Linked DNA regions of Rhinolophus ferrumequinum. The protein of the gene in region 2 interacts with the protein of the main gene of each other region in a pairwise test. Links are inferred from orthologs where the notes say so. Each region holds a gene or a part of one and is shown on either strand. Other genes may lie near its edges.

Evidence for each region.
Region 1: the proteins of CSDE1 (region 2) and HID1 interact in binary tests that used the Homo sapiens proteins (3 or more experiments, as listed by UniProt). The two-hybrid records come from large-scale screens. The link is inferred for Rhinolophus ferrumequinum from reciprocal best matches to the Homo sapiens genes CSDE1 and HID1.

What each region holds. Positions count from the first base shown.
Region 1 is NC_046304.1:50,083,981-50,091,393, forward strand, and holds the start of HID1 (protein HID1), read right to left. Parts: upstream 3,099-7,413; 5' UTR 2,967-3,098; coding exon 2,901-2,966; intron 1-2,900. UniProt on the Homo sapiens protein: May play an important role in the development of cancers in a broad range of tissues.
Region 2 is NC_046305.1:45,431,862-45,439,829, reverse strand, and holds the start of CSDE1 (cold shock domain-containing protein E1), read left to right. Parts: upstream 1-4,852; 5' UTR 4,853-4,977; intron 4,978-6,010; exon of another isoform or gene 6,011-6,123; intron 6,124-7,968. UniProt on the Homo sapiens protein: RNA-binding protein involved in translationally coupled mRNA turnover.

The DNA.
Region 1 (7,413 bases), on a different chromosome or scaffold from region 2:
GGGGTGGAGAAGGACATCCCCAAAAACATGCAGAGTCCGCACCCCAATCTGGGAGCGCCTCTGGGAGCCCCTATCTCTATACTTTCCCCACCTCCCAGGTAGCCGTTACCCCCTTAAAGGGGCTAAAACTCATTAGAGCACAAAGTGGACTCACCTCTGACCTAAGTCGTCAGGCAAGTGTCCCCAGGGTAGCCCAGCCTGGAAACTAAGGAAAGTCCCAGCTATGGGAGCTGGCCTTGAACTTCAAGAGACTTTCACTTCCGCCAAATGGGCCTCCTCTCCTGGTCCCGCTGTGGCTTGGACACTTCAATTTGGTGACCATTACCTGACCATATCAGGTTAGCCTGATGCTACAGGTATTGGCCAGGATCACGGGGGCCTCTTAGGCTTCTGAGGGGCAGGACGTGGCTTAGCTCCTGCTTCAGTTACCCCAGCTGGGCTCCATCCAACCCAAGGAAGCTCTAAAATCTGAGCCAGTTTCTTCAAAAGTATTTTTGCTGGAGGTGGGCTGGTCTCCACAGACACTGAGCTACCCTGGTGGGAAACCCGGTATTCCTACCCTAGCTGTCAGGACCTGCTCAGGCCAGACCCCCCCACAGGCCTGGGGGACCAGCTGCACCTTTTGAACCTCTCTGGGGAGAGGAGGGAAGGACCAGCAGTGCTCCAGCCTGCTAAAGGTGACCTGTTCTGGAAGACTGTGTTACCACAGCAGGACTGTGACCATGGTATTCATACACACATACATGCACACACATGTAAACATGGACCTACCAAGTCTCATCTGGCTGATGGCAGAGAACCTCCAAACAGCCAGGCTCTAAAAGAGGGTCTCAGGTCCATGAATGTGCCTCCTCCAGGGCCCCACCCACCTGGGAAAGGCTCAGGAAACACAGCCCAATCTGCTGGCCCTCAGGACCAAGGTCAGGCCCAGCCCAGGGCAGGAAGAAAACAGGATGCAGTGCAGGAAGGTCGGGAAGGCCCAGCAGAGACAGCTCGGGCCCAGGCCATGGCAAAGGAGCTGGGTCAGCTTGTCTGCTGCTCAGAGCAAAACTAAAACTCCGTGTTCACAGCACAGCCTCTGAGGACCTGGGACTGAGGACGCCCGGAATCTCCTGGGGGCCACTGAGTGGCAAAGTCTGCAATGATCACCTGGGATCTGCTCCTTACTCCCAAACTGTCCAAGCCAGGTTACTACACAGGGCCCGAGGCTTCAGGCCCTGGGGTTCTTTCCCTCCATGTGGCCCAGGGCCCCTCCCACCTGCAAGGTCCCAGAGCTCCCTGGAAGGAGGCTCAGGCTGGTCTCTGGCTCAGACCCTGTTCTAAGCCAACTCACTGTAATCAGGCTCCTCAGGGAAACTGGACAGCACCACCACAGTCAGCTCCATCACGGTATTTGGGGGAGAGGGACTGGAGCAGGTAGGAATCTAGTCCACCCAGATCCTCTGGGACCTAGCTGAGCTGGTCCTGCTGGCCCAACAAAGGACCCTGGCAGCTGAGCCAAACCCTGTAGTTTATTTCTCCAACAAGGTGTTTCCCTCTGAAAGTAGGTAAACACAGGAGCCTCCCTCCCTCCCCTTCTGTGGCCCCACATCGAAGGGCTGGCCCACCTGCCCCCCACAGACCGAGAAGCCCCATTCCATGTCAGAACTAACCAGGAGCCATGGGGGAAACGGTGAGAAGTAAGGTCTGATTTCTCTCAAATGCCTTTCAGCTGGAGCTGGACTCCAGAGGCCCTGGGCACTTGCTGGCTCCTGACCTTTCTCTCATGGGAATGAGAGAGGGTGGGACCAGCAGTCTGGCCTCTGGAGACCAGCTGGCTGTGGGGAAACGGTTCCCTTGATCCCACTCTAACTGCCAGGAGCAAGAGAGAGCCCGGGGAGCCGCAGCATGGGAGTGGGAGTGGAGGTAAGAGGCAAGTCCTGGATGGCAGCAGAGCAGCATGTCCTGGCTCCCTTGAAAGTGGGGGATCTGGAAAGTCAGGGCATAGACTTAGTTCAAGGGGGGAGGAGAGAAGGGGTGGGCAAGGAAGCAGCCTTGCTGAGGCCAGGTCCTGCTTGTTGGGGCCAAGGAGATGGCCTCTGTGCCACGTGTAGACTCCGGAACGTGCAGCATGGACTATGCTGCAAGATCCCAGGCCCCACTCAGCAGGCCAAGGGCAATCTGGAGGTTTCTCGGCCCTGACCCAGACAACGGAGGGTACTGCAAGCACAGCCGTCCCCACCGCTGGGCCTCAGAGAAGAAGCCCCCTGCAGCGGGAGTCCCAGCTGGGAGACTGGACCCCACAGGCCTGGGAACAGGTTCCGTTGCCAGGCTGCCGCACTGCCCGCTACTCTTTGCACGTCCCCAGGCAGACCTGGGCCTTCCTAGCTGTGGGCATCGACCTGGGCCCAGCGAGGCCCCTGCCGCCGCGCACCAGCTGTTTCTCCGACCCGGGAGGGCGCGGGCCGGGCTTTGTTTGCGTTGAGTCAGCCGGGTCTGTGAGTCCGGGACCCGCGGGCACCAACGGGCAGGAGAGGATGAGGGAGGCTAATGGGTGGGTGGAGACGAGGAGAGGCTAGAGATGCAGGGCTGGAGGGGCGGAGGGGGTGGGGGAGGGACAGGGGGCGGACAGCGGCGGCGCCGGCTCGGGAAGTAGGCACACGTCAGCCTAAGGTGGCAGCAGCGGCTGCGGGGAGGATGTTCCCGAGAGAGGAGGCTGGAGATGGGGAGGCTAGGGCTCGGGATGGAGCCTGGGGCACAGGCCAAGGGATTCGGCTCCGGCCCTGGCCTCAGTGTCACCCTACAGGCAAGCCGGTCCCCCCATTTCAGGGCAAGCCAAGTTCGCGCACCACCCCCTGCCCCCGGCCCTGCCCAGCAACCAGCCCTGCAGGTGGGTGGGGAGGCTGGGGCCCCGGGCGCACCTGCGTCTTGGTGGTGAGCTGGATCACCGCCTTTCGGAAATTCAGCTTGGAGTCGGCCGACCCCATACCGTTGGAGCCCGTTCCGGCCGGGCCCCGACCCCGACTCCCGCCCCGGCCTGGGTTTGGGATCCAGCTCCAGCTCCGCGGCCCCCGCTGCTCTCGCAGGAGCAGAGCCGCACACCCCGCCCGCTAGCCCGGCGCCGGCCCCGCCCCTTCTTGGCTCCGCCCCGTCAGGCTCCGCCCTCCCGACACCTGCCGCGTTCCTCATGGTCCACTCCTGGCCCACAGATTCTGCCCTTCCGACCCAAAGCTGCCGCACGCCCTTCTCATCCTGACCCAGTGCCTCTGCGCCCTTCCTTCAGCGTCCTAGCGTTGTCCCTGCTCCACTCCCCCATTTCCATCCAGCCCCAGGGCCCACAACCCGCCCAGCCTTCCGTCCCCGCCCCCATCCTCACCATTGGTCCCCACGCCATCACTGGGTCCACACTTTCTCAGCCAGCCCATTCCCTTGGGTTTCTTCCTCGTCAATCCCTGTCCAACTTTTTCTTTTTTTCCCTGAGCATCTGCTCTCTTGGTTCCCCTTTTTCTGACCTGTCAAACCCACATGTCCAGACAGCCCCTGGCTCAGCCATTCGCTCTGCGGAAGGGAAGCTGACTTAGTGCCCCTGCTCCAGGAAAGCAGCTCCCGGCCTGATGACGGCGGGAGGTCCTTCCGGGTCCCACAACTCCTTTCTGGATGCCTGCCTTCCATGAAAATCCTTTTAGGTCCATCAATTTCAACAAATGTGTTGAGGGATTGACATTTAGCAACATTGTGTCAGGCACAGGGGCATAGGGGCTGAAATCACAGTATCTGCCTTTTATGAGCCGTTAGCTAGGGAGAGAATCAAGAAAGTAATCAGCCATGGTTCAACCCAGTGAGGCTTTGATAAAGGCAGATTAACAATAATAATAAAAATAATATAATGTGACGACAATATCTCTAACAACAAAAACCTACCTCTAAGGTAGGTATTATCCACATTTTACACTTGGGGAAACAAAGGCTCAAAGCATTTCAGTTACTTGCCCAAAGTTGCACAACTAGTAAGGAACAAAGCCAAAAAAGCCTATTTAACTCTGGCCCCAAAAAAGGCTGCACTTTTCCACAACGTCATCTTGCATGCTATGTCTGGAAGCTTCTGGAAATCCTAGATGCTTCAAAAGGAGGTGACACTTAGCTTAAAGAGGAATTCCACGGGTGAAAAATGAGGGATGCACTATTAGGCTGCAAAAAAAGTGACACAAAGGCAGGGTAGGACAGGTGTGGAGGTTGGGAGGAGGGGGACAGGTTATCACCATGTCACCCAGTGAGCAGACTGGACAGGATAGCTCTGTCCTTGCTGCAGAGGTGTGTTTTCCCTGCCCTGGATGAAATCCTGGGCAGGCTCAATGGCTTTTCTAATCACTTCGAGATAATGAAGGGTACCTTTATTTGGTGTTTAAAAAGAAAATTTCAGTCCACTTTACAAATCACCCAGCCCTGTTCCAGCCCAGAGTGATGTTAAAAATTCTGAATCTTAGTCTTTAGGGAGATACAAATGGAAACCACAACACGATAACAATTATATACCTATTAGAATGGGTTAAAAACCAACAAGTTAAATATACAATTACTATATGACTCAGTAATTCACTGGTGGTATTTGAAGACAAGAAATGAAGACAAAAAGCCTGTGTAATTGTTACAGCAATTTCATTCATAATCACCCCAAATTGGAAATAACCCAAATGCCCATGATCTGGTGAATAAGCAGATTGTGGTTCATCCATACACAAGGACTAGTAGTCAGCAACAGAAAGGAACAAGCTGCTAGCACATGCAGGAACAATGTGCATGATCTCCAAAGCATTGGGCCAGACACAGAAGGCCACTGTATTATATCACCTATATGACATTCCAGAAAAGGCAAAACATTGGAAAAGATACATCATTGCCATAGACTGGGAGCAGGATAAGGGGATTGACTACCAAAGGGTATGAGGAAATCTGGGGGAGAGGGTGGTGATGAAAACATTCTGTTTGATTGTGGTGGTGGTGGTGGTAGTGGTGGTTCCAGGACTGTATATGTTTGTCAGAATTCACATAACCACCTTAAAGGGGTACATTTTACTGTATATAAATTATACCTCCATAAAGTTGACTTTAAAAGAACAGAAACCCAGAGCAGGTGCTAACTCGCCATTTCAGGGAAGTAATTGCGAGCCCTTTGGTCTCGCCCAGCACTCAGAGCCGTTTCTGTGGTTTGCAACCAGGGACTTCAAGTGCCACCGAAATATTACTGGTAACTCATGGACCTCGCTTGTCCCATCAGTTTTCATGGGATAGATTCAAATGAGTCCATTTATCCTCATCCAACCTCAGGGGGTCTTCTCCCATTCACTGGGCATCCTGCTTCTCAGAAAAATCTTAGTGTCTCTATCCAGAAAAATTTACAGGATCCCTGTGCACTCTTGCCCTCATAGCATGAGGGAGAAATGTTAACATTGCCTTCAGGCACGTGACTGCTAACACATCTAAGTGGAAAAATACCCGTTTATCCCCACCATTTGTTTACTGTCTCCAAGTTAAACGTACCACCCTCCCTAATTCCATCAGCGATCATGTTTTTGAAATGCTGTTGGTTATTTTTTAATGAGGCATATTGAAGTGTGTAGAGAGAAGATGGCTTAATAACTAGGATTTGCTGTAAAATATTGCAGCAAAAAAAACAAAGCAAAGAACAATGGGGGAGATGAAGCAAATGTGGCAGAATCTTGGTGATTGTTGAATCTGGGTTGGGTACGTGGAGATTCACTTACTAGTCTCTCTACTTTTGTGCATGTTTGAAAACTTTTGTAGTGAAAAGTTTTGAGAAAAAAGACTGGATGTATACAGAAAAAAATATTAGTAGTAAAAGAGAGCTTTTGAAAGTTTAAAGAAATTACCATTATTAATTTGATGATTCCTTAGTAGGTTCTTAGCTAGGATTTCCCCGATGGAAAACATGCCCTGTCCTCCTTTTATGCCCAACAGAAAGGAAGAGTCACCATTCCATGGCTCTCACAGCCCTCCCTGGAGCCTTTGTTTTCTGAATGGAACCATCAATCACGCAACAAACATTGACTCAGTACCTACTAAGTGCCAGGTACCTTGCAATGTGCCAGGGCCTGAGCGGCAAAGATAAATTCCCACGACCGAGAGAGAGGGAGACACACAAGGCAACAATACAAGTAATAGAGAGTTATGGGGTCAAGAGTGGGAGTCTGTCCAGAGCCCTGAGACCTGGTGGGAACAGGTGAGGAAAGACTCGACAGAAGGAGAGGTTGGGCTGAGGTTTGGAGGATGACTAAGAGTATCAGTTAGGGTCTCAACAGGAAACGGATGGAACGCTTAGAGGAGTAAGCAAAGAGAATTTAATCTAGAGGTGATTTACAAGGTGAGGGAAACCAACAAGGGCTGTGAAGGACTCTGGGGCCAGAAGCAGTGGGGAGCCTCGGCCATCCTTCAGCTTGAAGGGGCAAGGTGCAGAATGATTGCCAAAACCCAGAGGAGGAGAGCCCAGCTGTAGGAGAGGGCAGACAGGAGCGGTGGCCTCCCAGGGTCTGGAAGGTAGGGTGCTATTGGATAGATACTCCACCTTCACTCTTCTCCTGTCCCCTGATTTCCAACTGGTACTTCCCATCAGTGGACCCACAGACATCAAGAGAGCAAGGGACACATGCTTGCAGCCCACAAAAGCTTCAGCCTCCAGGGCTTGGAGCAGATGGAGATGATGAAAAGAGATCTAAAAGGGCAAATGGAACATGTCCCACCTCCAGGCGGTTGGAGCGAGTGGAAGGACAGACCGGAAGTGTAGAGAGTGTGATAAGACTAGGGAATGGAAACACCTAGTTGGGGTGAAATGCAGAGTGACAAGAGATAAAGCTTGAGAGGCACACCAGGACCAGAGCATAAAGGACTGACTGCATCCATCCTGTGCAGGGGCTTTTACCTTATTCTATGAGCAATAAGGAGCCTTTGAAGCTATGTCTTAGCAAAGTCATTCTGGCTGCTGCAGGAAAGATGAAGTGACCTGAACACAGGGAATCCAGCTGGGTGACAAGGTGAGAGATGATTAGGGTTGAACTGAGGCAATCACAAGTGGGATGTCTCTTGTCACCCCCATATCCAATCCATCACCATATCCTGATGATGTTATTCCCCAAACATGTTCCCGGCATCCCCAGCACCTAGCACCAGCCTAGCACACAGCGATTATTTATTGGATGAATGAGTGAAGATAACTCCTGGAGGGTCATAGAAGATGGAGTTACTTTGGTTGTCCACATCAGTCAGTAAGAACAACACATTTCACCAACCGTTTCTCAGATTCATTTTTCAGTACTTTTAGGAGCCTTTCAGGGGGGGCAGGTAGATCTGACCTGGGGTGGAGAAGGATGAAGGAAGGCCAAGGGATATGGTTCTACCACTGGTCCTTTGTTCATCCATTGT
Region 2 (7,968 bases):
TCTTCCAAATAACACATAATCTAATCAAGGGTAACATAAGCCAAAACCAAATGGAAGAATGTTTACAAAATAACTTACCAATAGTGTTCCAAAGCATCCAGGTCATGAAAGACAAGGAAAGACGGAGGAACTGTCATGGAATGAAGGAGATTAAGGAGACACAACTAAGTGCAGGGTGGAACCCTAGATTTGACTCTGGAAGAGAAATGGAGTAAAACACAAATTAGTTTTGTAGCTTAGTTATAACTATATCCAAGTTAATTTTCTAGTTTTGAAAATTATTCTGTGGTTAAACATAATAGGAAACTGAGTGAAGAGTTTATGGGCACTTTCTGTACTGTTTTTCCAGTTCTTTTGTAACTAAAATTATCTCAAAACAAATATGCATTCCTGATTACTAATGAGGCTGAGCATAATTTCAAATGTTTATTTCCCTGTACAGGTTTTTTTTTTTTAAATATAGACATTTAAGTCATTCTGCCTTTTTTCCTTTTCCTTTTTCTTACCGATACATATTAATATATATTCATGATATTAATATGTTGTCAGTTTTATATGTTGCAAATATATATTCTGGTCTATTGATTTTTTTTTTTAATTTTATTGGGGAATATTGGGGGGGAACAGTGTGTTTCTCCAGGGCCCATCAGCTCCAAGTCGTTGTCCTTCAATCTAGTCGTGGAGGGCGCAGCTCAGCTCCAAGTCCAGTAACCGTTTTCAATCTTTAGTTGTAGGGGGCGCAGCCCACCATCCCATGCGGGAATTGAACTGGCAACCTTGTTGTTGAGAGCCCACACTCTAACCAACTGAGTCATCCAGCCACCCCTAGTCTATTGATTCTTAAAATATTTTTATGCTGCCTCTTAATAAATGGAATTTTAAAAATATAGTCAAATTTATTACTAAAAGGAAAGAGATTCAGAAGAGTTGGACTTTGTGAAGAAGTTTTAGGAATATCTTAACGAATTAACTTTGCTTATTTTTTTTTTTTTTACTTTATATACACATGAGTGTGACACATGATAAAAAAAAATCTAGGTCTAAATAAGTTTAAAAGAGCTCTTAATATAAAAATTCTAAGTAATAAAAACTATTATGTCAGTGAAAATGGCAACATATTTTCTCCTGGCTGGTGCATCAATAATGTATCATGAATCAATAGTGCCCTAGATTTAATTATATAAGTGTAATTCATTCATTCAACGACTATTTATTAAGTACTTACTATTATGTCAGTCACGGACCTAGGTTTAGGGGATACAATGATGAACCAGAGAACTGAAGCTTACACTAATAGGAAGAAAGGCAACAATTAAATTCATTCATGTGTTAATTTTCAGTAGCAATATGTGTTACAAAGGCAATAAAACTAATGTTAAGCAAAGTAATGGTAATGGGTACTTTTACTTTAGAAAAGATCTTTGTGAGTTGGTAATATTTGAGCTGAAACCTGAAATGCTGAGAAAATGCTAATTATATGATGATTTGGGGAAAGAAAATTCCAGGCAGAGGCATTAGTAAATGCAAGCGTTCTGAAGAAGGAACAAATTTGCAATGTTGGAGGAACCAAAATGGCAGTGGAACTGAATTACAGTGAACCAAGGGGTTAGAGACTTGGTGAAGACTACGTCATTTCCAGCCTTGTAGGTCATGGCAAGAGTTGAGATTTTATTCCAAGTACAATTGGTTTTCATCAAAATCTAATTTAAGTTTAATTAAAAATATTCTTTTGCTTCACCCTTCCCTCCGGCTGTTTCCCAGAGCTAAAATGTTATGGTGATTACTTTTAGTGCAGCAGCTTAGCATATCCACATAATTCTTCCATTACGTGCAATGTTGACATTTTAAAGGGAAGCATTATACAAAACTTCTCCATTATTCTTATTTAAATTCTAACATTTTATTACATAATTGTTATTCTTATTTATTTATATAATGTACTTTCACTGGGGGACTGTTAACGAATAAAAAGTTTTGGATTGTAGAGGTCTAGAACTAAATCTTATATACATTATTTTGTTAATAATTATTCTTTATGAAAGTTTTTGCTTTAAATTGTTTTCCTGTCCTGAAATCTTGAATGTGGTCACTTTACCATCCACTATTACGATAATTTTATAAAAGAAGTTCCCTTTAACTTCCCTAAACAGGAAGGACATAATGTCAGAATAAAAAGTCCTCAAAATCTTGAATAAATGTAGCCTTCTTTTTAAAAAAATCTGTACATTGACCTAATTATTCTCATTTCAGAGAACTGACAAAAAAATCACATGCATCACTGCTCAGGAAAACCTTATAAATGTGTAAAGGATGCTTACCTATGATTCTCAAATACAGAGGGTGCCAAAAAAAATGTATACACATTTTAAGAAAGGAAAACTGTATTAAAATTGTAATACTCAATATATACCGATAATTCATCAAAAGATGAATACAAGTCACGTTTGACTTCTGCAATTACAATAGGTGCTCAAAGTGGTTACCATCAGCGTCCAGACACTTCTGAGCTTCGTTGACCAAAGAGTCCACTGTATACATTTTTTTGGCACTCCCGTAGATGCCAGAAAAATGTGGTTATTGATCATTCTAGAGGAAAAAAACAATCAACTTTTCTGAAGTTTCTCAGAGAAGAAAAATTATAATGATAAAAAAACAAAAATAATACATGCAATTTTTGTTCTCATGGTGATTTCTTAATAGACTAAATATCTTCCCCAAATCCATGACTACCCTGTTGCATAGGAGCTGGTTCCCCAAGTGACTTCACAAATGTCTGCCTTACTTAACTTCAGTTTTTTTTTAAAAAAGTAAAAAGATAACTTTTTTTGTTTTTTAATTTGATTTCAAAATTAATCTGAAAAAAATTAAAATGTAGTGATCTGAAAATGAAACCTACCTCTAATTATGGGTAGCATTTGTAGAAATAAATCATTTAAACTAATGATTTAAATCATTACTCCATCATTTACTTTCTTTGGTGCATTCATTGGAAGCTAAAATGTATCCTTCTGGGTTTATATGTATGTATCTGCATTTTGTGTCAAATGTAAATTGATACAAATTATGGATGGGGAGGAATTTAAAGGAAGTTGAAACATATTCAGAATGAGGAGGATAAAGGAAGTTGACACAAATTCAGAATGAAACATTCAGATTGAGGATGGTTATATGGTTTAAGGTCTTTAGGAGCTACATGTAATGGCAGAAATCCAGACTTTATTCTTTCTTATTAAAAGGAATTGTATTTACAGAATTTAGTGAGACCATTATTTTTTACATTTCCCATTGCTGTGATATTTGAGAATGTGTGCTCTTAGACCTAATTCCACTTTTAGCCCAGCTTCGTATGACCTTGTTTCTAGAGCAAGAGCCCCAGGCAGTTTCTCTGGAACATTTGATTAGAATATCCAGGCTAGATCTATTGCTGGGAAGGAGAGATCTCAATTTAAAAATTGGACAAAGGAAACAAAACCGCTGGTTTGATAGGTTTATGTTTTGTACTCCCCCAACAGTACATTCCAATTTTTAACAACTTACTCTGATGTTCAGTGCCATTCATTCAACAAGCTTTGGAGAGCTATCTATGCCCGGCACTGTCAGGAATCAGGGATGCAAAGATGAAGGTCACAGGTCTTGTCCTAAAGTATCATTAGCTGATATAAACTAATAATTACAAGACAGCTATGAAAGCATTGAAAGTGACGCAAATGTCTTAAAGGAAAGCGTGGCAAAGAACAAAGAGGCAGCTTGGAGGTAGTATGGCAACTGAGGTGGAGAGAAAATCTTGGAACATCAGAAGTAGGATACCGCCTCCTCTCAGAATTCAAGATGATTTGCTTGGAATTAAAGGTTATATACTCGTAACACTGTGCACCTTTCCTTCATTACACTGTCTTCAAAGTGTATGTTTAGATTTGTTTTTGTGATTAATGATGTTAGACTGAAAGTTCCTTGAAGACAGAACCATGTCCGTTTATCTTTACTATCGTGTACACGCCAGTGATGACACACACGAGATGCTGAAAAAACGTGTTGAAAGCCAAAATACAATGAGTGGGTAGGAGAATTCTCAAAAGCGTGGCTGGTCATTGTGTTTATCCAATACTGTCAAGTGAGAGAGCCACAGAATCTACGATAAGCATTCCTCTCACCAGAAGGGACTGCTCTATTGTTTGCCAAGGGATAATTCATTGAACTTTTCTGCTTGCTTTTACACCGTTGGATGAATTATCCATTTGCCCTGATTTCAACTTTTCTGCTACTGATTCGGCCTATTTGATTGCCTGACACCCTGCGAATTATCTTCTGATAACCAGAAAGGTCAGTTAAAGGTTTTTCGGAGCGGGGGGCGGGGGGAGGTTAATGCTGTCTTGCTCACACTCTTGTCCGTTGCAAGCAATATAGTTTTTGGGAGACAAAGATCACAATTAAGACTTCCAAATTACCTTGCTGAAAACCTGACTTACCAATGAAAATTCCAGCCTAACGTAACAGACAAGAGAAAAAACTTGCGCTGTGAGGAAAAACTGGGGTTTGGGGATTCCTGTAATATCGCCGGGAAGAGAGAAATCCTTTATATGACATTCCTGGATATGCCCTTCAAATTGTTCCGCCCTCAAGGTTTACCCTGGTTTAGCAAAGCACATTCAGGTTTGCAAAGATCAGAGACGCCGAAAGTCACCCGACACCTCGCCCCTGGCGTCCCAGCGGAGTCAGTAAACACCAAGATTGCTTCCAGCAGCTGATGGACAAGAGAACGTAGTGGAAACGTAGCCACCATCTTGGTTATGGTTAAGCTCAGCGCACTAGTAAGCGTCACTCGGCCCTCATGCGCAAGCGTATTGGGAATACGCTCCCCTCCCCTTCCTGTGCACGCGCTCGGTGCCCGCAACTCTCGCGAGAGAAGCGAGATTTATTCCTACGTACCGGGCCGTGCTGCTTATGGCGGCGCTGGAGAGGGGGCGCTGAGCTGTTGGGGTGAGTACGATCTCAGGGTCCATTTGGGGGTAGTAACAAGCCAGGCTAAGGGCAGAAGAGAAGGCCAAGACTAACGGGAGAGACTTCTGAGTCAAGTTAGGCACTCCTAGAGCTCCGGGAAGGGAAAATTTCACCCTGAGTCCCTACCCCGGCCTTTCCCACCCGGCCCCGGTTCAGCTGTCTAGACCTCACGTCAGGCCGCAGAGCCGAACCGAAGAGTCGAGGCCAGGCGGCCGCGCGTGGTGGCGGTGGTGGTGACTGAAGGGGGGGAGGGAGCGAAAATGGAGGCTCCGACCGCAGCCAAGATGGAGGCAGGGGTGCGGGGCTCGGGCGCGGAGGCTGCTGGGAGTTGTAGTCTGGCCGCTTCCCCTTCTGCGGCTTGGCAGGGTAAACGGGAACTACAAGTCCCGGCGGGCGGGGGGAGGGGGTGGTGGCGCGGTCCTTTGTGTGAGGCTGGAAGAGCCGGAGGCAGAGGAGAGGGGCCTACTCTGACTGGACCCTATAGTTTCCTAGCTGTCACCTGCTTAGGGATCTGACTACGAGTACCAGAGCGCAGTGCGGCAGTGGCGCTTCCTTTGTGTATAGACTGAGACCCCGCTTTCTCTAAGTGCTTAGAGACACCTCTTTTCCCCAGCCCCATCTGGCAGAGTATCGCGGCGGAATTGTCATCCTTATTTCCAGTCACCTAGAGCTGTGTATCTTGGGTCTCTACACCCTACCTTCCCCTTTATGCTTCTCCTTTGGCTTCTTGAGAAAGGGAACCAGCCCCTAATCTTAGGTACGTGGCTCTCACCCCTCTATCCCGGGGTTAGGGCGTGCTTTGTGAGAGCTTAGTGGAGTCTTCCTCACCACCTTTCCTGGCTCTTAATAGTGCAAGAACCCGGCCTACATTGTGCAATGAATGGTTTGGCTTTGTCATTCTATTTAGAGTTAGCTTTTTAGAGCCCTGGTCGGAGACACTTCTTAGGTTTTTAACCATCCGATGTTTTATCAGTACGAAATCTCAGTGCCACGGTTCTTTTGCTTTAAGGTTTTCCTTTAGAAACACGCAGATGGCTCCTCTCGTTTGACTCAAGTGAGGCAGGGAATGCTCCATAAAACAGCCTTCAAACTGCAAACACAAAAATCTGAACGTTGTTGTTCGAGGTAATTTCCTTGTTTTGCACCTAAAGTGAGTGAAAGAATGTGGTCCTCTTTAAACAGCTGGGAGACAGGGTGGAGGGGGAGGGTGGGCGCCCAAAGACTGGTAGTTAAATCTGTCTCCTTTGGGAGAAAGGTTTTTATCAGGACGATGGGAACTGGCAGCTCTGGCCTAGAGCTACCGGTCTATAAAATGAAGGTACCAAATTCTAACTCACTAAGATAAGTTATGGGTCAAAACGCTGAGTGATTTCATTTTGAGTTTCTAGAAGGCAAACATTCTCAATACTACATTAAAAGGTAATATAATATGTTGGTGTCCTTTTGGTACTAACCTGTAATGGGTATTCTTGGTGTGGGTAAGGAGGCATGTGCCTGAGTAATAAAATCTAGATAAATATTCAACCTGTTTTTGTTTCCTTTTAGCCCTAGGCCCAAAATAAAAGAGGTGGTGGTGGTATGAGTGATTTTGCAGCTGCTCTGGATGTTTACCATCGAGATGAGTATTTATAGCAGCTGAGTTGAAAAGTAAAGTATTTGAGGCACAGAAGATAGGTTTTCTTTTTTTGTAAATAAGTTCTGGCTTAACAAATACGACCTTTAGAATATGGTTGAAAATTGTAAATTCCTAGCAGATCAAAAAAGAGTGTAAAAGCTAACATGTAGTCCTGCTTTATCCCACTCCTGTCTTACGCTCCCTTTATCTAAAGACATATGGTACAGGGCCATCCAACATTTAAAACAATATAGTTCTTTTAAACTGGTAAAATATAGCAATTTACCATTTTAACGGTTTTTAAAAGTGTATAGTTAAATGGCATTAAGTTCATTCATATTGTTGTAAAGAACATGCTTTTGATGAGGTAGTTGAAACAAATGCTATTTGGACAGATGTTTAAGGAGTTGAATTTTAGGACTGTATCACAAAATCAAATCTTGAGATCTTGTTAAATGAACAATTGATTTTCCTTTTCAGCTTTGTTTTTTTCAAAAAACAAAGGGGAAATTACTTTGAGAGCTTTGAACCAAATTGTCTTATGGAGAGCTGTAAAATTTGTAGGATTTTTCATAATAAAGAATTACAGCTAGAAGAATTGTAACTATACTTTTTTAAGGCTTCATACTTGAATGTCTTCAGTAGTGATACTGCTGTGGTGGGAGTGACTTGTTTTCTTGAATCCCATTATTTCTTTTAAATCATTTCTGTCAAATCGGGATTTATAAATTCCTGATATTAGAATTTTTGATGTGAGAATGTTTCCTACTTGCATGTGTAACTACTTAAAAAACAAAATAATACAAAACTTTCCTTTTAGTTCATACTGCCAAGCCTGAGGAATTCTATTGTACATTTTTCATTATGGGTATTACAAACTGAGTGTGATATTCTAGGCAGTAGTCTATTCAGAAATACTGAATAGTAACTTTATTTTTCGAGCATTTTTATAATTAACATATCCTTTTATTCTGATGTAAAATAGTGTGCGTAGTTGAAAGTAAATTGATCTTCACGTTGAATGTGTGAGCTATCCATTGGTTTGCAGCTACAGCTAGTACATAACCAGTTATTTGTACTACTGTTTTTTAAGTGTACTAAGTACAAACTTCTGCTATGGTCATATTTGTTAGATACTGCCTACCTTTGTATCAGTGAAAGTCTTTGCCCCAGGGCCTTACATTTACTTTTGCTTTATTAGGCATGTCAGTGCCTTTTTCCTTCATCAGTCTATACCTGCTCTGACCAGTACGGTAGCCACTAGCCATGTGTGGCTATTGTGCACTTGAACTGTGCGCAATTCTGAATTGAAATGTGCTGTAATTGTAAGATAAACATTGGATTTCAAGAACTGT